Linked DNA regions of Oryctolagus cuniculus. Each later gene encodes a partner of the first gene's protein in a complex. Links are inferred from orthologs where the notes say so. Each region holds a gene or a part of one and is shown on either strand. Other genes may lie near its edges. The genes, in order: DHDDS and NUS1.

Region 1 (4,374 bases):
TATCTTAAAAAAAAAAAAAAAAAAAAGAAACAGGGAACTAATGTCTGTGACCATTTCTTCAAAAAAAATGTTACTGGATGACAGACACAGAGTTAGCAAGCAAGCAATAAAACAGAGAATGAGCTATCAAAACACTCAGACCATAGCAAACCCAGAGCCCAGTCCTCTATGGATTGTTCACGTTGGGTTCTGCCACCCACACCCACCTCAGCCAGCTTGTTGAAGCCTTGAGAGTGGCCCTCCTGCCGCTCCACCTGGCACTTCTTGGCATAACGGCGGTTCCCATCCATTATGAATGCGATGTGTTTGGGCATGGGGCCTGCCTGTGGGACAAGAAGACGGATGAACAGATCTCCTATTCTCTGGGGATGAGGGGAGCACTATCCCTCAGGCTGACAGGGTTGGGCTATATGATAAAATTGCTGGGGAACAGAATTAGACATTTCACACTTGTAGCTCAATAAAAGAGCATTCGGCACTTTCATTTGTTTTTATTTATATATTTATTGAGGACTTATTACATGCCAAATACTAAACTGGGCTCTTCCTACTTCATCTATCTTACAACTCTATAAGGTAAATGGTATCACATCAGTTTTATAGATAAAAAACTGGGCTCACTGAGATCAAGTGATTTGCACAAGTCAAACAGCTCAGAAGATGCAAAGTAGACATTCACACTACAGTCTGTCTGCTTCCAGAGTTCATCTTTTTTTTTTTTTTTTTTTTTGACGGGCGGAGTTAGAGAGAAACAGAGAAAGGTCTTCCCTCTGTTGGTTCACCCCCAAAATGGCTGCTATGGCCGGCGCGCTGTATTGATCCGAAGCCAGGAGTCAGGTGCTTCCTCCCGGTCTCCCATGCGGGTGCAGGGCCCAAGCACTTGGGCCATCCTCCACTGCACTCCCGGACCACAGCAGAGAGCTGGACTGGAAGAGGAGCAACCGGGACAGAACTGGCGCCCCAACCAGGACTAGAACCCAGAGTGCCGCGCCGCAGGCAGAGGATTAGCCTAGTGAGCCGCAGCGCCGGCCCAGAGTTCATCTTTAACAATATGCTTTTGAGGCCAGCATTGTAGTACAGTGGACTAAGTCACCACCTGTGACGCTGGCATCCCATGTGAGCTCCAGTCTGAGTTCCAGCCGCTCCACTTCTGATCCAGCTCCCTGCTAATGCAGGGAAAGCAGCAGAGGATGGCCCAAGCACTTGGCTGCCTGCTACCCAAGTGGGAGACCAGGAAGGAGTTCCAGGCTGATGGCTTTGGCCTGGACCAGCCCCAGTCATTGAGGCCATTTAGGGAATAAACCATAGATGGAAGATCTGTCTCTCTTTCTCCTTCCCTCTCTGGAACTCTACCTTTCAAATGCATAAATAAATCTTTTTTAAAAAATCATATGCTCTTCACCACCACTGCGATTCGCTTGGACCTCAACCAGGAGGCAAAGGAAGGATGCTGACAGGCACAGTCAACACAGAAGGCGTCTTCCACACACACAATCGGTGCACCCACTTCTCAGGCCTAACCAACTAATGCCACCCGGGGCCTGAGACTCAATGTGCTTCGGATCTTCTGATTTTACAGAGAATCAAACATCAGGGTTTTCATAAAAATATAACCTTCAGTAAGTATATCAGAGCAAGAAAACGTATCTGGCTCAGAGCAGTAAGCAAAAATGGGGATTAGTTTTCCATCTAAATCCAGAGCAGTTAAGACACCTGCATCCCAGACCGGAGAACCTGGGTTTGACGCCAGCTCTGGCTCAAGAGTCTGACTTCCTGCTAACACAGACCTGCGAGGCAAAAGGAACAGCTAAGTCATCAGTTCCTGCCACGTGGGAGACCTGAACTGAGATTCAGGCTTCACCAGTCCAGCCTTGGCCACTGCAGGCAGTGGGGGAGTGAATCAGCAGGCGGAAGCTTCCTCTCCCTCCCTCTCTCTCAAATAAGTAATAAATTGAAAAATTAAAAGTAAATTTTTAAAAATCCAGCATATGGTACTAGGATCAATGATTCAACGTACAGAGAAACAAATCTAACATCTAACAGTCTCTGCTCACCCCGGCTCCCAGTTAGGACAAAAATCCGCGGACACAGCCATCTGAAGTTACCTTGCAGTTTTAATGCTCTTTGGTTCCTTTGCTGAGTTCCACTTCACATCATGCATTGCTCAGATTCAACAACAGGTTTTGGTGCAAGACTATGCACACGACCAGAAGGTCCACCGGTGCTCTGGCCCACTGCTCACCTTTATGATGTTGGCACAGAACCGCTCCCAAAGGGACAGTTCTCCTTCCTTGATCCATGACATAGTTCTCGCCCGGTCAGAGGATCACCCCAGAATAACAAGACACCAGTCTGGAAACCTTGCATAAACAAGAAAAGAGAGGGAGACGTCACCAGGGCTTGCAAACAGCTACAGCGGATTTCTCGAGATTGATCCCCGACTGCACAGCGCGACTAGCACGAGAATCTTACGTAGAACTGCACCGGCCAATGAGACCTCTCCGGTTCTCCTGGCTTCGTGCACCTTGGCCCCTGGCCATTTTCCTCATTATCTGCACTCACTTCTTCTGAACATCTACATCTGCTTGCTGCCACATCACGGCGCCTACGTCTCGATCATTCGCCGCGTCCTCCTCCATCTTCCCCCAAGTCATTTCCCATTCTGCGCTCCCAGTCACCAACCCGTGCAGTTGCGGCACTCGCTACCTCCTACTTCACTGGTATTGTAATTTTCTGTTCCCTCGGCTGTCCCTCGATCCTTCCCGCAGCTGCCTCCCCGCCCAGCCATCTCCCTCTCCTCCGTTTCACCCCTTCCTCCCACCACCTGATCCGCTCCGCTGGGCTTCTTCCAACGGCTCCAGTGGGCCGACACTTCCTCACGACACGGCGCTGAAAGACCACGTCATCGCAGCGCGCTGGGCCACGCTCCTCCCGCCAGCCAATGGGCGGGGCGTGGCCCTGCGCCTGCCGGGTAGTGGAAGGAGCGGCGGGAGCTCTGTGGCCCTGCAGTGCGCGTTCGTCCGCTGGCGGCGGGCGGCGGCGAGGGTGGAAGCTGAGCCCACGTGACGGAGCAGGGGCGGGCGGGCGGCCGGCCGGGCTTCGGGCCGTGCATTGGGGAAGGCTGGGTCCAGCCCGGCAGGGGGAGGCGAGAGGCCTGCGGACCAGATCGGACGGCCTCCGGCAAACGTGCCGTCAGCTAAGCACGAAGGGGATCCCGCCTCGCAAGTTGAGGCGCCCCTAGGCCGCTGACGTCGTTCTGTAGCCGGGCACTACGTTGGGAAGCCGCAGGTCTGACTTCGTTAGAAGCCCTGGTACAAGCCTTAAGTCATACTTCTGCTCTGTGCTTAGTTTGGGAACCAGTTGCTAGCCCCAGTTAGTCTTACAGGGGCGCTGAATGTCCGTCCATTTTGTGCTGCTTTAGGGCACCCAGATGGTAGGATTTACAGGTTCCTACAAGAGGTAAGGCTACAAGGAGTTCTGCAAAACCCAGGTCATTATTTAACGGAGACAAAATCGGCGTCAGCTCTGTACCCATCCTTTTTTTAAAGAGATCGGAGGGAGGGCTTTAAGAGCTTTTAGAAAATGGTGCATGAATCTTAAGAACTGAGTCACAGGAGAAATTGCTACTTCGACTTCCTCAAATAAAAACGGGAAAAAAACTTTACAGAATCTCATGCGACCAGTATTTTTCTTTTAACTCATAGCGCAACCTCCATATGGATGATTTGCGTAGGTGACAGAATTTTCAAAGGACCGTCCGCCTCTCACTTCGCATGGCTCATCTCATCAAGCAGTTGTTGCACACCGTCCATCCCATAGCCACTGTGTGCCTTCCACTCCCCGATGAAAGGGTCATGTATGGAGTAACATACTTGAAGAAAGCCCTAGAGAAAAGTAACCCGCCCGTGAACATTTCCCGTCCTGGCTTTGCAACCTAGGAGCAAATTTCAGCCTCGCTTATTTGCGTTTTCCAAGAATATTTACTGAAGCTCAGTGGTTTGCTGGCTGTGAGCATCCACTGTCACCTCTGACTCTGGGTACAATTAGTTAAGGGGCCACAAAGTCCCTGGAGTTGATAGGAAGCTTCCTACCCTCACTCTGGTAATGTTGCCAGGGCTCGAGGATTTAATCCAGTTTCTCTGTTTCCTTGCACTTTGTGTTAATACTTGGTTTGCCTCCAATTAAGTTTTATCCTTTTTAAATCCTCCTTCCCCTCGGGGGAGATGAATGTTTAAAAACTCAGTGTTCATTAGAAGGCTAGCAAACGTTGACTCAAAGAGAATGTTGTCTAAATCAAGTCAGTGAATCTCCTCTGGCCTCAACTTCCCCAGCTCCACATATTTCCATTCCTTGGGGTGCTGCAGGGGTTAATTA
Region 2 (3,810 bases), on another chromosome or scaffold:
AACTTCTGGGCCTGGATTGTTCCAAATACTCAACAGAGTTTGCAAATAGTAATGACAAAGATGATCAAGGTAAGCATGAATGTAAAATTGAATATGCAGCATATGAAGTTAGGTGTTTTACAATTCAAAGCAAGTCTGTTACTCAGTCCTTTATTCGTTCATTTTGCCCTGTTAGTCTTGTTCTCAGTATCTTTACTTAATTTTTATGTATTTATTTATGTATTTGAGCTGTAGAGAGAGACAGACTCTCATCTGTTCTCATCTAGTGGTTCACTCCCTAAATATCCATAACAGCCAGGACTGGGCCACAGTGAAGTCAGGAGTCAGAAACTCAGTTCAGTTCTCCCTCCTGAGCTATCACCTGATGCCTTCCAGGGTCTTTATTAGTAGGAAGCTGGAATCAGCAGTGGAGTTAGAACTCAAACCCAGACAGTCCCATATGGGATGCAGATGTCTCAATTGGCATCTTCACTGCTAGTCCAGACTCCCCACCAGTCTCAACATCTTTAGTCATCAGATTGAGACTTTTTCTCCTTTATCTTATTAAAAGATAATCAGAAAAAGATAAAATAATAACTCATGTAAATATTAAAAAGTGAACACATGATAAAGATTTTATTTAATTGGGCAGATTTTTTTATAACTCATTCAACAGATAATCCAAAGAACAGTCACGTTTATACATCAGGAAATAGAGTGAATATCTAAGTAGAGACAAAACTGGTTTTCCTGTGAGATGAGAGGAAAGATAATTGAACCTCTACCTGACAGGAAAGATAGTGCATTTTTATAGAAAAGAATTTTACATTATTATCAGTTCTTTAGAGTTCTGTCAATTGCAATATAGATCCCAGAGAATCAGAAATAGATAATGAATATGTGTGTATGTGTACACTCTAGACAATGCATACATTCTCCACTGAAACACAATTTTTTCTACAATCTTTATTTTTTCTTTTATTCTGTATATTACTGTTAATTTTGCAATGATTGTAGATGGAATTTTAGGTGAGTAAAAGTCATCTACCTTATAATTAAATCTTCTATTTTCTGGAGAATTTAGCCACAATAAAAGGTCCTCTTGAGCCCTTTGAAAATAAGACAGTATGAAAATATATACATAAATGTGATTTGGGGTGCATCTGGCCTTTGAAAGGAGAATAGTTAAGTACATTTGATACTGAAATTGAAGGGTTTAAGTGATTCTTTACTGTAAGAACTTTCAAAACCTTAACTGTTTCTTTTAAAACTGGTTTTGACATATTTGGAAGAGAGTGTTTTTAAAAATAAATTTGTTTGTTTTTTCCTCCAGTTTTAAATTGCCATTCAGCAGTGAAGGTGCTGTCCCCAGAAGATGGAAAAGCAGATATTGTGAGAGCTGCTCAGGACTTTTGCCAGTTAGTAGCCCAGCAGCAAAAGAAATCCACAGATTTGGATGTAGATATGTTAGACAGTTTACTTAGTAAGTCATGTATGTGTATGTGTGTGTGTGTACATTTTAAATTTTATAACATAAAGATACAGTATGAAAGAAATATTAAGATCCTTTTATACTATAACATTTGATTTTGTTGTTGCTGTACTCTTCATACTTCTGAAATTTAAAGACCCACATGTAAAATGGTTTTGGGATAATGTAATTGTGGTCAGCTTACTTGTGTGAGGATTTCATGGTAAAGGAAAGGCCAGCCTGCCTGCCTGCCTTCCTTCTTTCCTTGAACTTCCTTTCCTTCTTTCCTTCTTTTTCCTTCTCTTTATTTTCTTTATTTTTGCAGTAAGGAGCATTCTTTTTTTTTTTTTTTTTTTTTTTTTTTTGACAGGCAGAGTGGACAGTGAGAGAGAGGGAGAGACAGAGAGAAAGGTCTTCCTTTGCTGTTGGTTCACCCTCCAGTGGCCGCCCCGGCCGGCGCACCGCGCTGATCCGAAGGCAGGAGCCAGGTGCTTCTCCTGGTCTCCCAAATGGTGCAGGGCCCAAGCACCTGGGCCATCCTCCACTGTACTTCCGGGCCATAGCAGAGAGCTGGCCTGGAAGGGGGGCAACCGGGACAGAATCCGGCACCCCGACCGGGACTAGAACCTGGTGTGCCGGCGCCGCTAGGTGGAGGATTAGCCTATTGAGCTGCAGCGCCAGCCAGGAGTATTCTTAAAAATAGGACTTCTGTTAGCCTTTCTGTCTGTCTCAACCCCCTTTTTAGTTTGAACTTTCTAACAGGTTTGAACTTAACAACTTTTTGTGAGGCACTCCCAAGAATATAATCTTAGCATACATGACTCCTTTTTAAGTGTTTCTTTTTTTCTATTATGCTGTACCAAATATACTCCCCTGAATTTGGCATGTCATACCAAATATAGCTTTTTTTCCTTCAACTATTTATAAAGCCTTTTGTGTACTTACTCTTTCTAGAGCCTGTCCAGGAACTTTTAACTTCATGGTCCTTCTGCTTTCAAGCATTATCTTGAACCTTTTGCAGAAAAGCAGTCTCTCTAGCAAAGTCAAGTTCATGGATATCTTCTACAGCCATATGATCTCAGACATTGGTTTTTTTCATTTACATAGACCCTCCATTTACCTTATTAATCATGCATTTTCTGTATCAGTTATTTACATAACTCTTCATTCTTTGACTCTTTTACTTTGGCGTGTCGATCATGGAACACAGATTCTGGCCTCTTAGTCTTACTAACTTCGTACTTTCACTGACTACTCCTTCCTTTACTCTTGTGTTCTTTACTCTGATGTTGTCTGTGTTCAGGCTTGCTGAGTGTAAAAGATTGTGTGGGCACTCTTACTAGAGATTACTGAGATGTTGACTGTTTCTTGGACTCTGTGAAGCCCTGGAGTGATTTGTGAAGACATTCTAAAAGGTGGCCTGGAGCCCAAAGGTTTTGCTTCAGGGCTTGTAAATTCACAATAAATGAAATTAAGCCCAGTCCTTACATTAACTCATTAATCTGGGAGAAGCAAACACTCTACCATCACCCCAAAAAGTTCCCTTGTACTGCATTGGGTCCCCACATTGGTTGGTTGTCTTTCTGGAGATACTTTTGCCTTTTATAGAAATTTTATATCAAAGGAATCATATTATAGATAATCTTTTATGTCTTACTTTGTTAGCATAATAATTTTGAGGTTCATCAATGTTGAATGTCTTAATTTATTACTTTTGTTAATAGGAAGTAGTCTATTTTATGGATAGACCACAATTTGTTTACTCATTCTTCAGTTGATGCACATTTTATTTGTTTCCAGTTGTTGTTTTTTTTTAAGATTTACTTATTTACTTGAAAGGCAAAGTTACACAGAGGGAAGGAGCGAGAGAGAAAGAAAGAGTGAGATTTCCCATCTGCTGGTTCACTCTCCCAAATTGCTGCAAGGACCAGGGTGGAGCAGGCTAAAGCCAGGAACCTGGACCTCCATCCAGGTCTCCCACATGGTTGACAGGGCCCAAGTACTTGGGCCATCTTCTCTGCTTTCCAGACACATCAACAGAGAGCCTGACTAGAAGTGGAACAGCTGGGACTCGAACCAGTACCCATATAGGATGCCAGCATCACAGGGGTGGCTTAACCTTGTTTACCACAGTGCTGCCCATTTCCAATTTTTGAATAACATTGCTGTGCTGTGACTGTGACTGTGTGCAAGTCTTTGTGTGGACATGTTTCTTTCTCTTATTGGATAGATATTTAATAGTGGGATTTCTGTGTCGTATGGAAGTGAATGTTTAATTTTTTAAGAAACCACCAAACTTTTTCAAATACGCTCTACATTTTACACCCCACTTGCAACGTAAATGGTTCTAGATTTTCCAT

Evidence for each region.
Region 2: the proteins of DHDDS (region 1) and NUS1 are in contact, whole or in part, in a crystal structure (PDB 7PAX), measured with the Homo sapiens proteins. The link is inferred for Oryctolagus cuniculus from reciprocal best matches to the Homo sapiens genes DHDDS and NUS1. Residues at the interface, in NP_995583.1 of Homo sapiens: Arg37, Arg38, Glu81, Asn82, Lys84, Arg85, Arg159, His160, Ile162, Ser163, Val166, Arg167, Met169, Ala170, Trp171, Val173, Glu174, Pro180, Ser181, Ile183, Ser184, Glu185, Leu188, His199, Glu209, Val210, Arg211, Leu212, Ser213, Asp214; in NP_612468.1 of Homo sapiens: His137, Gln138, Pro193, Glu194, Lys197, Ala198, Ile200, Val201, Ala204, Gln205, Phe207, Cys208, Gln209, Val211, Ala212, Arg217, Pro218, Thr219, Leu221, Asp222, Val223, Leu226, Asp237, Pro246, Val247, Asp248, Ser249, Thr250, Leu251, Gly252.

Annotation. Positions count from the first base shown.
Region 1 is NC_091438.1:145,068,216-145,072,589, forward strand, and holds the start of DHDDS (dehydrodolichyl diphosphate synthase complex subunit DHDDS), read right to left. Parts: upstream 2,953-4,374; 5' UTR 2,825-2,952; intron 2,361-2,824; 5' UTR 2,306-2,360; coding exon 2,243-2,305; intron 324-2,242; coding exon 207-323; intron 1-206. UniProt on the Homo sapiens protein: With NUS1, forms the dehydrodolichyl diphosphate synthase (DDS) complex, an essential component of the dolichol monophosphate (Dol-P) biosynthetic machinery.
Region 2 is NC_091436.1:52,669,784-52,673,593, reverse strand, and holds part of NUS1 (dehydrodolichyl diphosphate synthase complex subunit NUS1), read left to right. Parts: coding exon 1-69; intron 70-1,312; coding exon 1,313-1,462; intron 1,463-3,810. UniProt on the Homo sapiens protein: With DHDDS, forms the dehydrodolichyl diphosphate synthase (DDS) complex, an essential component of the dolichol monophosphate (Dol-P) biosynthetic machinery.